2 linked regions of the Callithrix jacchus genome follow. The protein of the gene in region 1 interacts with the protein of each later gene in a pairwise test. Links are inferred from orthologs where the notes say so. Each region holds a gene or a part of one and is shown on either strand. Other genes may lie near its edges.

Region 1 (9,369 bases):
GCCCTTTCCTTCCAGTCACAGCTGCCAACGAGCTGGCCTGCCGGGGCCTGGACCACCTGGAGCAAAAGATCCCAGCCCTTCAGTACCCTCCTGAAAAGGTAAGCCTTTCCCACCTCGAGAGCCTCCCTGCACTCTAGCCACCCCTCTCAGGGAGGAGAGGGCAGGGGCTGCTGAGGCAGTGACTGTACGTCTGTGTCCCACGGCGAGTGCCCTCCAAGGCCGGTGGAGGCTGCCTGCTCCCAAGGCCACACCACAGGCTCCTCTTTTCCCCGTGAAGCCAGATGGAGGTGGGGTTCCTGGAAGTTGGGTTTCTGGGACCAGCAGGCACAATCCCAGAGGCAAACTCAAACAGATGCTCAGGGCATTCCCACTACTCCCAATACCATGCCCTGGGGTCTGGGGTCCATAGTCTGCCCTGGACCACTTGGCGACTACAGCTGCCTAAGATCACAAGTCACACTCATGAAGATCCCAGGAGTGTCATCCCAGGTCCTCAAGAGCCAACATTTTATGGACCATGAGACTGAATGTCACTTTATGTGGCTACATATTCGTTGGGTAGTTGCTATGATAAAGGCCCATTTTTGCTGCTTCTGGGAGATAAGCTTCAGTCTCTGACCTCACCTATCTCACTGACCAACTGTCTACCCTTCCCACGAACACATACCGAGCCCTACCCGATGCCCGGGGCCATTGCCTATGCCTAATCAAGCCCTCACTGAACCCTCTTATCAAGCCTCTGGGATAGGGATCATTACCTCCACTTTACAGAGAGGAAACCAGTGTCTTCCCACAGCCACACAGCCTTAATTGGAGACCACGTGAGAGCAGGTCTGTTCAGCTGTGAGGTCTGTGCTCTCTGCTCCCCTTTTTTCCAGAAAAAGGGCAAGGTTTTTGTCACAAAGGAACTCTCAGGATAGTGAAGAAAAGTCAGATTATTTCAGTGCAGAACCAGTGAAGATCAAGCCCAGCTGTAAATCAATAGAAATGGCGTGTTCTGAGGAAAGGAGGGAGGAGAGTCCTGTGAGCACGAGGGTGTCAGGACACGGGCCACCAAAGAGGAGCTTTGGGGTCATCCTCGCAGGATGGGAGGGATCTTGACAGACAGTGGTGCGGTGTGAAGGAGCCAGGAGACCAAGTAGGTGGCACAGGGCAGGTGGGTGCCCTCTCCCTTTAGAGCCCAGCTTAATTCCGGGTACCCAAATATCAGCACCAGCTCCCTGGGCCTTTAGATGAGGCCTTCCTGGGAGCTAGGCTCAGGGTGCCAGGCCCCAAAAGGGTGGCCATTGTAGGATCTGCCAGACTGCATGCCTAACACCCCACTTACTCCCCCAGATTGCTTCTGAGCTGAAGGACACCATCTCCACCCGCCTCCGCAGCGCCAGAAACAGCATCAGCGTGCCCATCGCCAGCACTTCAGACAAGGTCCTGGGGGCCGCTCTGACTGGGTGCGAGCTCGCCTGGGGGGTGGCCAGAGACACTGCGGAATTTGCTGCCAACACCCGAGCTGGCCAGCTGGCTTCCGAAGGGGCCGACCTGGCCTTGGGCAGCATTGAGAAGGTGGTGGAGTACCTCCTCCCGCCAGACAAGACAGAGTCAGGTACCCATCGTTCGGAGGCTCGGCCTGGGAGTGAGTTGCTGTCACACACATGGCCTGGGATTCAGCAGGAGGTGGCAGGGCTTATCCAGCCCCTGCTCTGGAATAGGGAAGGCCAGTGGGATTTTCAGATGGACTCCTAATAATTCACCCCACCCCCACCCCATCAGTAAAGAGGGAAAGTGAGCTGTGGAAATCACCAGTGAGTTTGTGGTGGGACCAGAACACCTGCTTTCCAGCGCTAGCCATGACCCAGATCTCCCTGGCCCCTCTCTGATCCATCTTCTCTTCTTTTCCCCCATATCCCTACCCAGTCCCTGCTCCTGGACACCAGCAAGCCCAGAAGCCTCCCAAGGCCAAGCCAAGCCTTGTGCGCAGGGTTGGGGCTCTGACCAACACCCTCTCTCGACACACCATGCAGACCGTGGCCCGGGCCCTGGAGCAGGGCCACACCCTGGCCATGTGGATCCCTGGTGTGGCGCCCCTGGTGAGTGTCTGCCCTGTGCCTCCCAGGCCCCTGACCACCCACCTACCACCCCTTCCTGTCCTGAGAACATTCTGTCTTCCATCCTGGGCTGGGGCTTGAGTTCTAAGGACAAGAGGCCTTGACAGGGATGGAGGGCAGCCTTCCAGACCACAGGGAAAGAGAAGGACAGGAGGTTAGCTGAGACCAGGCCTGCCTTGCTAGAGCGGGACTGTTCACTCCCCACCACTCCCCACCCCAACCTCTCTGTATTTTAGCAGAAATAGGCTGGATTGTTTTCATAAGGAATTTTAGTAAGAAACTAAAACCAGAAAAAAAAAAAATAAGGCCGGGTGCGATGGCTCATGCCCATAATCCCAGCACTTTGGGAGGCCGAGGCAGGTGGATCACGAGGTCAAGAGATCGAGACCATCCTGGTCAACATGGTGAAACCCCATCTCTACTAAAAATACAAAAAATTAGCTGGGCATGGTGGTGCGTGCCTGTAATCCCAGCTACTCAGGAGGCTGAGGCAGGAGAATTGCTTGAACCCAGGAGGCGGAGGTTTCGGTGAGCCCGAGATCGCGCCATTGCACTCCAGCCTGGGTGACAAAGCGAGACTCCATCTCAAAAAAAGAAAAAAAAAGGAAAAAGAAAAAGAAAATGGTGGTCTCTTTCTTGATCTCTGGTGGTTACACAGGTGTGTTTTTTTTAATTTGAGATGGAGTCTCGCTCTGTCGCCAGGCACCAGGCTGGAGTGCAGTGGCACGAGCTTGGCTCACTGCAACCTCCACCTCCTAGATTCAAGCACTGCTCCTGCTTCAGCCTCCCAAATAGCTGGGACTACAGGCGTGAGCCACCATGCCCAGCTAATTTTTTTTTTTTTTTTAGTAGAGATGGGGTTTCACCTGTTGGCCAGGATGATCTCGATCTCTTGACCTTGTGATCCACCTGCCTTGGCCTCCCAAAGTGCTGGGATTACAGGCGTGAGCCACCACGCCAGGCCTAGGTGTGTTTTTATAAAAGTTCACAGAGCTTACAATAAGATGTGTGCACTTTAGTGTATGTAGATTACCAGTTAACAAAAAGTTTCAAGAAAAGTCTGCTGGGGCTGAGCCCTGCTCACCACCCTGGTCCTGACCCTTGAGGGGAAGGGCTTCGGCTGCTGGGGCTCCTGGCTTTCAGCAGGGGCAGTGGAGCCAGCGGTGTGCTGCCACCCTCCCTTAGAGCAGCCTGGCCCAGTGGGGTGCGTCAGTGGCCATGGAAGTGGTGTCCCGGCGGAAGAGCGAGGTTCGGGTGCCCTGGCTGCACAGCCTTGCCACCCAGGAGGAGGATCGTGAGGACCAGACAGACACCGAAGGAGAGGAGACAGAGGAGGAGGAAGAATCAGAGACTGAAGAGAAGAAGTTCAGTGAGGTGAGGGGAGAGTGGGAGCCTCAAGGTCCCCCAGCCCACAGACGGGGTGAGAAGCAGAGGCATAGGGTAGTACCCCAGATGCAGGGGTATGGCAGGTGGGTGCAGCACCCTTCACCCCACCCTCAAATGCCCAGTCGATGAGGGACTTCTGTGCCATTCTCTCAGCTGACCCTTCCAACACTCTGTAAACGGCAGGGCAGAGATGACTGTCCTGTTTTGCAGGAGAAGAAACAGAGGTTCAGAGAGGGGATGTGACCTGCCCAAAGCCACGCTCTGGTGGCAGAATAGGCCCCAAGTTGTGTACATTTGGTATTCCTGTGTGTTTCCCCTCTAGCTCTGGGGCTGGTGGGGCGAGAAGGGTCAGGGGAGTCGCCGCAGGAGGCACTGACCCTGCTCTGGCCCCCAGGTAGCAGCCCTGCCAGGCCCTCAGGGCCTCCTGGGCAATGTGGCACACACCCTGCAGAAGGCCCTCCAGACCACCATCTCGGCTGTTACATGGGCACCTGCAGCTGTGCTGGGCATGGCAGGGAGGGTGCTGCACCTCACCCCAGCCCAGGCCGTCACCTCCACCAAGGGGAGGGCCATGTCGCTATCAGATGCCCTGAAGGGCGTTACTGACAACGTGGTGGACACAGTGGTGCACTACGTGCCGGTGAGTCCCACCCCTGGTAAGCTGTTAGTGTCCCAAGGGGGGCTGGACTGGGCAGATAAAGTAGATCTGACTGAAGGGGCTGCAGACCCGTCCTTTCCCTCTGGAGACCCTCCTTAGGCCTCAGTGCCCTGCCAACATGTCGACATACTGCGCCTCTCCCAGCCCCAGGAGGATAGAGGCCCACAGCCCTGGCCTGAGGCCTCCTCCCCTCGGCCCCTCCCACTTGCTGGTAGGAGTCTCCTGCCTCAGCCCTGAGATCCCAGTGGCTCACCCTCACCCCTCTACTCCCAACTGAAGGGCTTGGCAGGTTTAGGGCAGATTTGGGACAGGTTTGGGGCAGGTTTGCATGCTGAGGCCTGGGAAGGGTTGGAGAGGCTTCCAGGGCACTCTAGGGGTGGGCCATGAGTTCAGGAGACAGCAGCAGGCCCCAAGCAATTCTATCACCTGTCACCAGTAGGAAAACCCCCCCAGGATACCAATGCCATCCCTTTGGGAGCCCCTTTCCAGAGCAAGTTACAGGCTGGCAGGCCGGAGCAGGGCTGGTCAGGGCAGAAGGCACCCATAGAGGGTGGGTTTCTCAGTCATTCTCTCCAACAAGCAGCAGGCCAGGGATCTTAGCAGCCGGCTTGTTTGCCCTGCGCCCGGACCAGCCACAGGAAGGCGAGCCCGGACCAGGTCACTGTGCGGGCTGCAAGGAAGGGTTAGGAAAGCTGATGACGTCCCACTGAGCGTTCCCCGGAGGGAGGCCCAGGGATCCTGAAACTCTGGGAGGCCTGGCTTGCCTGAGTGGCCTGGTCCGTGGAGAGGCTCAGGGTGGGCAGGACCTCGGGGTTTTCCCCGGTGCCAACAAACTACCGTCCCGCCCCCCAGCCTGTGCTCTCCGGATGGCCGCCCCCCTGGGGAACAATCGAGGGACCGGGCTGGGCAGGGGCAGTGGGTCGGAGGCTCAGGGACCAGGGCCAGGCCGGGGCTGTCACGCGACTACGGGGCTGAGCAGGGGTGGTGGGTCCGGGGCTCTAAGGCGGCTACCAGGCCCGGGGAAGCGGCGGTGGGTCCGGGGCGCAGGGATGGGGCCGAGCTGGTGCTCTAAGTAGATTGCCGGGTTCCAGCTCCCCAGGCTGTCGCTGATGGAGCCGGAGAGCGAATTCCGGGACATCGACCACCCGCCCCCGGAGACGGAGCGCAGGGCGTCGGGAGCGCAGTCCCCCGGCCCTGAGCCCGCCCCGCGCCCCGCCCAGTCCCGCGGGAACCTTCGCCGCGCGCGGAGCCCCGGCCCGGAGGACGAGGCTGACTCTCCCGCTGCGCCGCGCGCGTTCCCGGCAGTGCCCCGGGAGAAGCCGAAGCGCAGGGTCAGCGACAGCCTCTTTCGCCCCAGCGTCCTGGAGCCCATCCTGGGCCGCGCGCAGTACAGCCAGCTGCGCAAGAAGAGCTGAGCCGCGCGCCCAGACCTCGACCCTCCGCACACACAACCCGCGCAGCCCCGGGCCAGCTGCCTCTTCCAAATCAGCCCCTGGGACCCCGCTGCATCCCCCGGCTGCCGAGGCACACACTTTCTTAGCATCTTTCTGGCGCTTCACCCTCAGAGCCAGTTTTTAAGGGACACCAGAGCCACAGCCTGCTCTGAACTAAAAGAGAAATGGCCTCCGTTGGTTTTTCATCTCTTTAACCAAACGTGTGGCCGAAAGACATTTGACCGTTTTCAAAATTCAGATTCTGCCTCTGTGGATCAACCTTTGCCACAAATGAGTAGCTCTGGTCACCACCCTAAGGTCCAAACAGAGGTTTTGACACATTCTTAGCACTGAACTCAGAGATCCTCTGGCGATCGATCGAGGCTCCTAGCAGACTACTTTGAAGGGAATAATCAGATGCAAAAGCTCTTGCGTGATTATTCATAATTCCAGTGTCACTTTCTGAGTCCCCGCCCCTTCATAGGCTGGGTCCCAGGCCTGTGCTCTGCAGAGCCCGAGGCTTGCTCGAAGCCACGTTTCCATTGGCATCATCACTGTCTTCACCTGCGTAGTCACTCTCTTGATGCCCCCCAGATGCTGGGGAAGGAAAATGGTGACCATATATATAGACTTTATAGCCACAGAACAGGAATGTTAATATTTGATAAATCTAGACAATACATTCATACAATTATAAAATTCATACATTGCAAAAGGGTGTGTGTCTCTCTCCCTGAGCCCCCATGTTCCCCTCCATAAAAACCAGCATGGTGCCGCTCTCATGTGTGCCCGTGGTTATGGTGCCGCTCTCATGTGTGCCCGTGGTTATGGGCTATGCCCCTGCAGGCACGTGTCTGCACTTCCTGCTTGCCTTCGAATTAGCCTGCTTTTTTCACTTAATAACTCAGCTTGGAGAGATTTATGTATCACATCATAAATCCCACTCGCTCTTTTCGATGGCCGCATAATAACTACTGCGTAGTATGGATATGCCTTGTTTAATTTAACTAGTTCCCTAACGATGGACTTTTAAGTCCTTTCCTTTTTTTCTTTTTATTGCTACTGCAAACAGTGCTATAATAAATGTCCTGACCAAAATGTCTAGTGTACATGTGTGGATATGTATATATATGATAAGTGTGTAACTTGTAACCATGACATGCTAGTGAAATAATATGTGCACTTCAAGTATTGCTAGATAACGCCGAGTAGCCTTCCAAACCAAACCTTATTTTTCTAGTTATTTTCACCTGCAGCTTCAGAAATATGCACAGAAAATTATGACTCTTTGGTCAGTCCTTTTAGACATCTGTATATTTTTTTGGGGGGGGGCGAGTCTCACCCTGTCACCCAGGCTGGAGTGCAATGCTGCAATCTTGGCTCACCGAAACTTCTGCCTCCCAGGTTCAAGCGATTCTCTGCCTCAGCCTCCCAAGTAGCTGGGGTTACAGGTGTGCGCCACCACACCCAGCGAATTTTTGTGTTTTTAGTAGAGATGGGGTTTCAGCATGTTGGCCAGGCTAGTCTTGAACTTCTGATCTCGTGATCTACCTTCCTTGGCCTCCCAAAGTGCTGGGATTACAGGCATGAGCCGCTGCAGCCGGCCTGACACCCACATATTTATATTCATCTTCTACAGGCTTCCCTCAGACCCATAAGCACCCACGCTGTTGGCTCTCAGTCTGCTGCACCCTGGAAGCCCCCACTCCTGGAACTGACTCTGGGCCCTGGCAGATCTTTGGTGTAATGAGACATGGGCCTTGATCTGCAGTTTTGGAGTCTGAGGATGGCAAGAATGGGGACAGGAGAGAGGCTGGTAGACACACACATGAAGACATGGCCAGGCCCCTGGGCCAGCCATGGGCCCTCTGCACCCTACTTCCATGATATAAACTACACCCAGCAGTTCCCTGGTGGGTGTGGAAGGTGGAGTTGGCAAGAGGCGTTCTGAGAAGCTGATTTAACAGGGCTGAGAAGACAGCCCAGCACAGCCCTGGCAGGGCTCCCATGGACAGATGCTGGAAAAGTGACCTTGGGCCTGGATGTGCAGAAAGAAACTCCTGCCTGTCCCGGGCCTCACCCACCCGGGTTGCATTCTTCCTGGGGCTCCGGAAACCACGTTCCTAGTTATCTGCTCCTCGCCAGCCCCGTGGCTCCTCCTGCTAGGCTGTGTTCCAGAAGGCAGGAAAGCTGCCTCCTCAGCCGCATGAGGGCTGTGGCCGCCAACAGGCCCGCTGGCCAGCCCAGCTCCCTCACTCATCCCTGGACCTGGGCGCAAGACTGCAGGCCGAATATGGAATAGGACAGCCCAGGAAGCAAACAGTGTAAGTTGTAAGTTTCTTTTTACTCTTAGAAACCTTTTGAATAGGCAGCAAGGTACACTGAAGCTGCTTCTCTGTATTTTGGACACGTTTGGGACAATAACAAGGGCAAAGTAGCTCCGCTAAATGGCAGACATTTGCTTTCTTGGCTCTAGGCTCAAGGGGGGACTTTCCTCTGTTCTGGGAGGCATCACTTTGGTAAGGCCCCCCAACACTCAGTATCTTCAGTAGCTCAGGACCTACAAAAGACCTTCAGTTCACATAGGGTTGCCCAGGGTCCTTCAGAGAAATACCTAATGGCTTCCATTCCAGCTCACAAAGCCCACTTCTTTTTTTTCACTTTTTTTTTTTTTGAGATGGAGTCACTCTGTCGCTAGGCTGGAGTGCAGTGGCACGATCTTGGTTCACTGCAACCTCCGATTTCCTGGTTCAAGTGATTCTTCTCTTCCTCATTCTCCTCAGTAGCTGGGATTACAGCCACATGCCACCATGTCCAGCTAATTTTTTTTTTTTTTTTTTTTTTTTTTTTAAGTAGAGATGGGGTTTCGCCATGTTGGCCAGAATGGTCTCAATCTCCTGACCTTGAGTCTCACTATGTTGCCCAGGCTGGTCTTGAACTCCTGATCTCAAGCTATCCTCCCGCTTCAGCCTCCCAGAGTGCTGAGATTCCAGGTGTAAGCCACCATACTCAGCCTTGAGTTTCTCTCTAAATGAATTGTATACGCAGGCTGGAGTGCAGTGGCACCATCTAAGCTCACTGCAGCCTCCACCTGCTAGGCTCAAGCCAGAGTATCTTCCTACCTCAACTTCCCTTGTGGCTGGGACTATAGGCCCATGCCACCATGCCTGTCTAATGTTTGTATTTTTTGTAGAAATGGCTTTGCCCTGTTGCCCAGGCTTGTCTCAAACTCCTGGGCTGAAGGGATCTGCCTGATTTGGCCTCCCAGAGTGCTGGGTTTACAGACCTGGGCCACCTTGCCTGGCCCAGAATTGTACCTCTTTTTTTTTTTTTTTTTTGAGATGGCGTCTTGCCCTGTTGCTAGGCTGGAGTACAGTGGTGTGATCTTGGCTCACACAACCTCCACCTCCTGGGTTCAAGTGATTCTCCTGCCTCAGCCTCCTGAGAAGCTGGGGCTACAAGTATGCATTACCACACCCAGCTAATTATTGTATTTTTAGTAGAGAGGGGATTTAACCATGTTGGCCCGGCTGGTCTCGATCTCCTGACCTTGTGATCCACCCTCTTTGGCCTCCCAAAGTGGTGGGATTACAGGTGTGAGCCACCGTGCACGGCCCAGAATTGTACCTCTTAAACACGATGTTTCATCAATCAATATCACCTTTTGTTACATTTTACACACATGAAGATCCAAGTTCAGTTTTCTGCTTCTTCACATTTTCAGGGTCTAATATGATTCTTTCTGGTGATCATGGCGGCAGGCTGCTCTGTGTCGTTCTTGCTCAGGACG
Region 2 (9,356 bases), on another chromosome or scaffold:
TTTTTCTTTTTTTTTTTTTTTTTCAAGGCAAAGTCTTGCTCTGCAGCCCAGAGCTGTAGTGTAGTGGCATGATCGTGACTCACTGCAACCTCCACCTTCCGGGTTTAAGTGATTCTCTTGCCTCAGCCTCCCTAGTAGCTGGGATTACAGGGGCCTGCCATCATACCTGGTTAATTTTATATTGTTGGTAGAGATGGAGTTCCGCCATGTTGGCCAGGCTGGTCTCGAACTCCTGACCTCAAGTGATCCACCCTCCTCAGCCTCCCAGAGTGCTGGGATTACAGGCATAAGCCACCTGCACCCGGCCCAATTTTCTCTTTTAATTTTCCTTTCCTTCTGGCCCCTGCTGCCCAGGACCCCATACAAACACTGTGTTTTGAAGATATTTGTTATAAACTAAGGAAAACGAGATTCTAGTAATTTTAACTTAGAAAGTGTTTAGCAAAGAGATCTATTCCAAGTAGGATAGGTTATGACTAGTCTTTATTTCTCTTGTAAAAGGTTTTTAGATAATTTTATCTTGAACACTTTTCTTTTGCCTGGCTCTGTCTTCTGATTGTACAGAACTGACCTGAGCAATTTTTGTTGCCCCCCTGCTGTTCTAGGAAAAGCTATTCTACTTGAAGTTGGAGGTATTTAGTTTGTTGTTCTCTGGCCCTTCCCTTTTCTCCCTCCAGTGGCTTGGAGCCAATGGGAAATACCTTGGGCTAACTTCATTTTGCAAATGCCTCCTTTGTGCATTGACTAGAATTCTTTCTGATCATTTTAAGACTCCCTTATACATTTTGATTCTAGGTCTGATTTTCCTGAGACATTGTCTCCCTCTGTTGCCCAGGCTGGAGTGCAGTGTCACGATCTCGGCTCACTGCAACCTCTGTCTCCTGAGTTCAAGTGATTCTCATGCCTCAGCCTTCTGAGTAGTTGGGATTACAGGGTGCACCACCACACCCGGCTGATTTTTTGTATTTTTAGTAGAGACAGAGTTTCAACATATTGGCCGGGCTCATCTCAAACTCCTGGCCTCAAGTGATCCACTTGCCTCAGCCTCCCAAAGTGTTGGGTTTACAGGTGTGAACCACCACGCCTGGTCTGATGGTTGTTCTTATTGCAGTATTTCTGACTGGTGGCTGTCTGTAAATCCCATTGAAGGTCAGGCTTACCTACCCTTGTTAGCATTTAGACCAAGTGAAATCAGGTCCCAGTGTGTTGGTGCAGGTGTTGTCCACTGCTTTGCCCCTAAGGATATAATCTGCTCACCATCTTCAAACTCAAGGCCAATTCTAATGACTAACATTAAGAAGAATGCCTTTTTATATTTCAAAACTGATGGGTTGTTCTGTTGTTCTTGTTCTGCTGGTTCTTTGTTTTTCCTGTGGTTTAAACCAGCCTCTGATTCTTGACAAGGATGACTCACATGTGCTGTCTGGTTGGACCCATTCTTTACCCTAGATGTGAACAATCCCAGCAGGGAACTCTCTCTGGAATATTAAAGAGTAGGGTTTAGATAAATTATAATAGTTCAGATGTACATTAAAACCAGTAACTCCTATCAAGTGAGGAGATAATACTTTTACTAGAAGAGGAGGTTAGAAGATAGCCTGGGACCTTGGTCTGGGTGCAGCATTATACTAACCAGTGATCAGGCTCTTCTGAAGAATAAAAGCCTGTCTTTCCATCTTCCCTGGAATTAATTCTACTCTTGTAGTCTTCCTATTCACCCTACTATAACTAGCTTACATTTACTGAATACTTAGCATTTGATAGCCACCAACCGGAGTGCTTTGCATGGTTTATCTTATTTAAAATCTTTACGACCAAAAATAAGGAAAATTATTTTCTGGGGTCTTTACATGTAGTAGAAGCAGATGATATATAACTACAGTTAACTACAGTTTAGATTTTTCAAGTTTTAAAAAACTGTGTTCAAACTTTTTTGACTATGGCCCTTCTGTATTGTTTGGAATAGAAAAATGCAAGTCTATCACCCCACAAAACTTGTTTCAGACACCCACACATACATATATTAATACAATTTTTTGGCCAATATTCAATGCTTATGATTTATTTTTCTATTCCAAACAATATAATTTTATTTAAAAAAAAAACTAGACTGGTTCTTGACCATCTAAATGGATTTTATTACCCAATAATGAGATTAATAAATAGCAATGATGTTCTGATGTTATCTAGAAATAGTCAGCTGGATATGCTTATGCTATGATTATGCTTTATAAAATTTGTATATCCTTAATAGATTAGGACCAAAAGAAAATGTAGAAAAGCATTTTAACCCAAATGTTTACCAAGCATCCTTCGTGTGCTGAGCATCATGCTAGGTTATGAAAACATAGAATTGAGCAATTGTAGGGACAGTTTACTCCTTTTCAAAAAGAAACAAAAGAGGTCATCTACCTTAGTATCTATACTTTGCATAATTTGTTAAACTGGCATTTTCACCTAGGGATGAAATTTTGAAGATCATATTTTAAAGGCAAGCCAAAAGTAAGGCAAAAACAGTCACTTACCTAGAGATAGATGAGACTCTGTCAAGTTTTTCTTTGTCCTCCTTGTTTTTGAGTTAGCGGGTCGGAAAGAGCCTAGAGCAGACAGAGCAAGATTCATTAACAAATTTATGACAAAAATTTAACACTTGTTTAGGGTAGGGTATGTTTTAATAAAGAGTTCATTTTTCTCTTTAGGAGGTAAGTCAGTGAAAAATAGTGGTCGTTTCTTAACATGAATCTTTGCTGCTTTCAACTAGGTGTCTGTCTTGTTAGTTCCACTCATACTTCTGTTAAGCCTCTCCCTTCCCCTTCCCCAGATCTTATTGTGGGCTGTAATAGAAAGAATTCATTAGGTGGTCAAAATATAAGAGATAGTTTTTGCCATTAAAAAACAAAGCAAAACACTCATTTCCAACCTCTTTCTGATACGCAATTAGAAAATATTCTCATATGAAATTTTTAGACTGTGAAGGTACACTTCATAATTATATGAAACTCATTTATCACGTATCTTCATACATCTTTATATTCTACCATGTTCTCAATGCTATGAAATCTAGAATATAATATTAGGACTAGCCTTGAGAGTTGGTAAAGGTTAATTTTTACCTTTACTAATATGTCTATCTTATGTTGATTAGCCTGTTTAGAAAATTGCTTATCGGCATCTGTTAGCATGCTGGAGTAGAGAAATGTGGGTTTCAGCCTTAGTTCTACATGAACTAATGTTATATACCAGAGCAGGTCACGTAGTATATCTTAGCTTCCTTCTGGTCTGAGATGAAAGATTGGACCCAGTATTCTCCAAGGGATCATAGAGCTCTGTGCTCTAAAGCTTTCTGTCTTAAAAAAAAAAAGCAATCAGAGTATGGACCTGTTACTAACTCATTATGTATACTGACAATAATTGAATAGATTTTATATGAGGAATAATACCATCTGTGCCCATGTTTTTGTTTCTTTGCCTTTCTGTTTCAGTTATAACTTAGGAAAGGACTTTAGAATCATTGTCAGTTTATCCTTGGGAGATTTTTTGGCTGGCATTTCTTGGCTGGTTTGGTTACAGCTGAACATTGTTTTGTATCAGAAGGATCTTTGTACTTCGTTTAGAATCTTTATGATGTATAAAGCATGATGCAGCTACGTGGAAGTACTGCTGATAGTTCCGGTTTTTCTTCAATGGGAAGAAGTTTCATAAGATGGAAATATTAGAATTATTAACAATATGAAATAATTTTATATGAAGTGGTACTGAAGATTTTCTATCTCTTGGTCAATGAAGGAGAAAATTGGGAAAGTATTGGAAACAGAATCTAATGTCAGTATAGCGTGTTATCATGGGTAAGGTAGACAGACATGTTCCTTTTCAACATTTCTAGAATCCAAAAATAGGGAGTGTTTTCAGTCCATATTACATTATCTTTATGTTTATGAAAAGTTCATTTAAAGCACTTTTGAACCCACTTTAAGTCCTTAACTTCTCTTAAATTTTTAGGATGTTTGATTCATGGGAGATGATGGTTGTTGGTATATGAGGCTATTTTATAAGAATGCCTATAATCCCAGCTACTCGGGAGGCTGAGGCGGGAGAATTGCTTGAACCCAGGAGGCGGAGGTCGCGGTGAGCCGAGATTGCGCCATTGCACTCCAGCCTGGGTAACAAGAGTGAAACGCCGTCTCAAAAAAAATAAATACATAAAAATAAAAGAATGTGATACTGATCTTAGCCGTTTTTGCTTTGTCAACCTTGACATACACAGAATCTTTGGATTTTTCTGAGTGGCTAGTGATCTACATAAGTTTACACAGAATAAGAGCATGATATGACTCTTTAGCCACTAGTCTTTAACATGAAGGTTTTTGAAGGTGGTTTGCTCTACCTTTATTTTATAAATCATGTTAGCTCTTTATAGTCTTAGGGTGGTTTTACCAAATGAACTTAAATTTCTTCTTTCCCCCAACAGGGTTAATCATCTCATTTTAGTGGAGCCTTGGGGTTTCCCTGAACGACCAGACCTTGCTAATCAAGACAGACCAATTCCAGTTTGGATCAGAGCCTTGGGAGCAATATTGACTCCTTTTAACCCTTTAGCTGGCCTAAGGATTGCAGGACCCTTTGGTGAGTGCTTATGTCCTAAGAAAGTAAAATGTTTATAGATTATCAGTGGAGGAGTATTCACTATCATTAGTCAAAATCTTAAAAACAAACAAGCCTGAACCCTTTTTATCCTCTTCCTTTAATAAGTACCATGTCTTGCACAAAGAGGAATACAACTAGGCTTTTTTCCTCAAAGGGGAGTCTTTATATTGAAATAAGTAATTAGTAAAGCGAGAAGGAGGGGAATGCTGAGGATGCCGTTAGTCAGTCCTGAATACTCTGAGAAAAGCCAGGCAAGCAGAGTGTTTTGGGGAGTATATAAGAAGCTCTGCTAGCCCAGGGCCTGGGAGAAGTGTAGCATGTTACCCTGTTGGTGAGCATTGGAGAGCATTTGGCCAATTGATGATACCATTTGGGAGATCCCCTGGGGATAAAAGATACCACCACACTCACAGATTTCCCTTATCCAGAATGTTGGAAAGATAAAGGTATTTTTTCCACAACGTTTTGGAGACTCCTGATACATATTTCTGGTCATATTTTGAGGTACCCGTGTTTAGTTCCTGATTGACTTTTATTTCACTCTCAGCTGCTCTGCCTTAGCCCTATAGCCATGGGAATTTTCTTCCCTCACTGTCACAGATAATGATGGTTCGACCCTCGGCCTTTCTCCCATACAACTTGTATGAGTTTGGAGTACTTTTAGTTGTAAGTAATTGAATACCCAGTGGCTTAAATTTAAGGCCTTTTATTATTTCCCTAATAAGCAATCTGGAAATAGGTTTTAGCACTTGTTCTAGTTGTTTGCTCATTGGTGTTAAAGTTTGGGTCTGTGTCTGTGATTTTCTTGACCTTTTTTCTCACGGGGTTTGATGCCTGCCATGGCATTAAGCACCATCTCACAAAACAGCACCCTGAGCAAAAAGAAAGAAAAGCATGGAAAATGGTCCTTCTCTCCATAATGCTTTGTCAGGGAAGAAAGTTCTCCCTGGAAGGCCCCAGCCGACCTCCCATTGTGTCTCTCTCCACTCCTAGTCCTTCCACCAGCAAAGAAAAATTTTCTATGACTGACCAGTCATGATTTGTTCCCAGGGCCTGCTTTCCTGGGCACATTGCTGCCTAATTGATACTATAGAAAAGATGGGTTCTAGCTAGGTGCCATGGCTCATACCTGTAATCCCAGCACTTTGGGAGGATGGGGTTGGCAGATCACTTGAGGCCAGGGTTCAAGACTAGCCTGGCTAACGTGGCAAACCCCATCTCTACTAAAAATATAAAACGATTAGCTAGGCGTGGTGGCACACACCTGTAATCGCAGCTATTCGGGAGGCTGAGGCATGAGAATTGCTCAAACCCGGGAGGTGGAGGTTATGGTGAGTTGAGAGCATGCCACTATACTCCAGCCTGGGCAACAGAGCAAGACCCTGTCTCAGAAAAAAAAAAAAAGATGGATTCTGTTAGCAAGAAAGAGAAGAGGCATGGGGGTGTGGATGAGGGTATGGGATTAACTATCATGCAGGTGACTACAAATGCTGTTCCCCTTTGCCCAGCCCTGACCCCTTTTGGTCCTAGTGCCTTCTCTTTGGATTGGGAGAGCAGTGGAACTGCAGGACTTAGAGGAGGGTAGGGGGGTTGAATTGGTGACCACACTTTACTCCCTCAGTACTCTTACAGATGGCACATTTTGCCATCTGCAGTCTTGAAGCCCTCCCCAGTAGAGCCACTCCTTATGTGCCTGGTCCTCTTCTGGTAAACTACTTAAGAGCTTCATTTAGTCTTTATAGTCCTGAAATATAAATGGATTTTACTAGATCACAGGTACACAAATAACAATTATGGGAAAAGTAAAGTATGAAGAGAAGTTAGGAGACAGTGATGGGCAAGGGAGGATACCGAGGAGAGGCTCTTTAAAGCCATGCCCTCAGCCTCCCATTATTGCTTGCACTTGGGCGTGGGGTGGTGATACAGAATCAGCTCATGACAGAATTTCTTGGTGGAGCTGTATAATTCCTCAGAGATGGGATTAAAGGGCAAGTAGAGAAGTAAAGGCTTGCTGGAGTCATGGGGTAGTGGCAGCAGAAAGGGACGCCATTCAGTCTCTGGGGCCTCAGAATGAAAAATTGTGACTAGAAGAAAGCTTCTGTTCTTCATCCTCTTTCCCTTGGGGGCTTTGCCCTGGACTTTTTCTAGAGTGGGGTTGTGGGTGTCACCATGGATGACCTTAGCAGGGAGTCTTGCTAGTGTCCCAGGAAGAAACTGAATGTATTTTCATACAGAACAATTTACATATTACCAATTTACTTCATTTAGATGCTAATGTGTTATAATTACAGAAGAAATACAAGTTAATACATTAATTTTATGTATGAGCTACTCATTGGCCTTCTAACTTAAATGTTTTTGAGGCCCTAAAGCATATCTGTAAGTCAAAATACAATACTCTTTAATTTTTATATTAATATTTCTTTGGGGAACTTTAGGAGGACTCCTATCAGAATGTGTGCTTTTTCCCACCTGCAATATGTATTCGTAGGTATGTGTGCACATAACACTCGTTACACAGGTAAGCACTAAAACTCTATATTATTTAGTTGATAAGTTAATTATACATTTTTAAATTTCCTGTTAAATAGGTTTAAGTCTAGTGCAGCGTTTAAGGCCTGATTTCAAACGGAAGTATTCTTCAATGTTTGAGGATGATACTGTGACAGAATACATCTACCACTGTAATGTGCAAACTCCAAGGTGAGGGTTAGGAGTCTAAATTTACTCTGTGTGTGTGTATGTGTGTGTGTGTGTGTGTGTGTGTGTGTGTGTTTTATACTATTTTTTAAAAAATATATCTGATTCAGAAGATTTTTATCAGTAGTTAAATTTAAAAGGACAAAATGTCTAATATGTCTTAATTTATTCATCTATTCTTAGAGTACCTACTGTATAAAACAATGTGCTGAGTTCTGATGGGAGATTAAAAAGTAAGATGTTCACGCTTCCCCCAAAATTCTTATGGATAAGTTGAGGAAGCATTGGTCTTGGGCATCTCCAAGAGATGGTTTGAGTTGAGAGTTAAGGAATTTCACATTTAAAGAAGTATTTCCCAAACTGAATATAAATAGTTCATCAAAAAAAAAAAAAGAGAGAGAGAGAGAGAGAAAGGTGCTGGATTAAACAAAAGTAAGTGGTTGTCTTTACTATTAATCCTCTTAGAACCTTTACTATACCAAAGGGTATTGAATCTCCCAAGTGAATGGGAGATGCTGTGTAGTATTTTTCAAGTTCATTCGATGGTTGTACTCCTGAACAACTCTAAACATCTTTAGGTCAGCATTAGAAATGCAGCTGCAGAGGGTGAGGAGTAAGTGAAGGATTCTGCCTGTATTTTGACAGTGATTAGAAGGAGAGAAAGAATCGAGCATAGTAGCCAGAGGGAGCAAGAGGGTCAAATGTATTTTTTTCTTTAAAATATGACTTATGAATATTGGGTGAAAAGTACCAGTGGAGAAAACAGAGCCTGATGATAGTGGGGAGCTAGGAGGATGCTGAATGATAAGGCCCTTGAGTTTCTGGGAGGAGCATCAAGAATAGAGTGCAAAGATGAGGGCCACAGTTCTCATGCTATGTTGTGTCCTGGAATTATTGGGGGTGCTTGTTAAAATGTGACTCCTGAGGCTTATTTCTAAGACACAGATTAGCATTTCTGGGTTGCATCTCTAACAAATACTCTGGTGATTCTGTATAGGTGGGCCATGGAGCATACTTTCTCATCCTTTCTAAGACCCGAGGTTTGGATGAAAGGCTAAGCGGCGAGTTGCAGAGACAGCCTCCCTCCCTTTTATTTCCTCCCTCACTTTTGGCAGAAAATATGTACACCTACTTTATTAAAAAGATTGAGGCCATGGCAGCTATTTATAGGTGTAGCTGTAGTTTCAGTCTTTTTAATAAAGTAGGTTAGAGGTTCTCTGCCAAGAGTTAGGGAGGCTGGAGGTTCAAGGTCCTCAAGAGATTGAGGTTTTGTGACTTGCTAGGCAGTCAGGTCTGGTGGATTCGGTCTACACACTTTATTGACTTGTTCCAACAGTTTTGTTTTAGGGGTCTGCCCCAGGAACCTCATTCATTTTCCTGATCAGTCTAAGTTTTACTCTTCGCGTGCTCTCATTTCATGATTACATGTGTTCATGTAGTCCTAGTTTGTTACCTTTCTTGTGGTGAGACTTGAATTCTTCATAAAAGGCAAGTTAGAATGATGTCTAGTTCTATAAGAATAGCAGAGTAACAGCAAAATAGACTATCCTGAGAGTTCCCAAGAATATATCATCTGAGTTTCTTCTTAACTTGATAATGGTTTTGGCATTGCAGGTGAAATGCTGGTGCCATGAACCTGGGGATAAGCTACCTTCTTTCTACATCAGTTTAAATAAAGGTGAAAATACATATTTTTAGCTGCTATCTCCACAATAAATAATTTAATAATAGAGAATTGGGGTTGTACATTTTGATTTAGAAGAAAACTTAATCAGCTAGTTCATACAGCAGCCTTGCTTATCTAACTTGTTCCTTAAACTGTCTTGTAAATTATTTTCTATTTAAGCTGAGGATTTTCTTAAGTGCTGGAAAAGCTAAGTATGAATGTGTTTTGATAGAAGTGACAGTGCAGTGCATGCTCATTCCCAAAAATCATACATTGTGATTTTTCCTTGTCATTAAAGTGGTGAGACAGCTTTCAAGAATATGACTATTCCTTATGGATGGGCAAA

What was found.
Region 2: the proteins of PLIN1 (region 1) and ABHD5 interact in a protein complementation assay, tested with the Homo sapiens proteins (3 studies listed by BioGRID, with this or other methods). The link is inferred for Callithrix jacchus from reciprocal best matches to the Homo sapiens genes PLIN1 and ABHD5.

Annotation. Positions count from the first base shown.
Region 1 is NC_133507.1:18,825,767-18,835,135, reverse strand, and holds the end of PLIN1 (perilipin-1), read left to right. Parts: intron 1-15; coding exon 16-98; intron 99-1,335; coding exon 1,336-1,600; intron 1,601-1,911; coding exon 1,912-2,084; intron 2,085-3,287; coding exon 3,288-3,476; intron 3,477-3,882; coding exon 3,883-4,128; intron 4,129-5,237; coding exon 5,238-5,561; 3' UTR 5,562-6,677; downstream 6,678-9,369. UniProt on the Homo sapiens protein: Modulator of adipocyte lipid metabolism. Coats lipid storage droplets to protect them from breakdown by hormone-sensitive lipase (HSL). Its absence may result in leanness. Plays a role in unilocular lipid droplet formation by activating CIDEC.
Region 2 is NC_133516.1:26,467,894-26,477,249, forward strand, and holds part of ABHD5 (1-acylglycerol-3-phosphate O-acyltransferase ABHD5), read left to right. Parts: intron 1-4,468; coding exon 4,469-4,623; intron 4,624-7,235; coding exon 7,236-7,347; intron 7,348-7,527; coding exon of another isoform or gene 7,528-7,543; exon of another isoform or gene 7,544-8,934; intron 8,935-8,958; exon of another isoform or gene 8,959-9,022; intron 9,023-9,308; coding exon 9,309-9,356. UniProt on the Homo sapiens protein: Coenzyme A-dependent lysophosphatidic acid acyltransferase that catalyzes the transfer of an acyl group on a lysophosphatidic acid.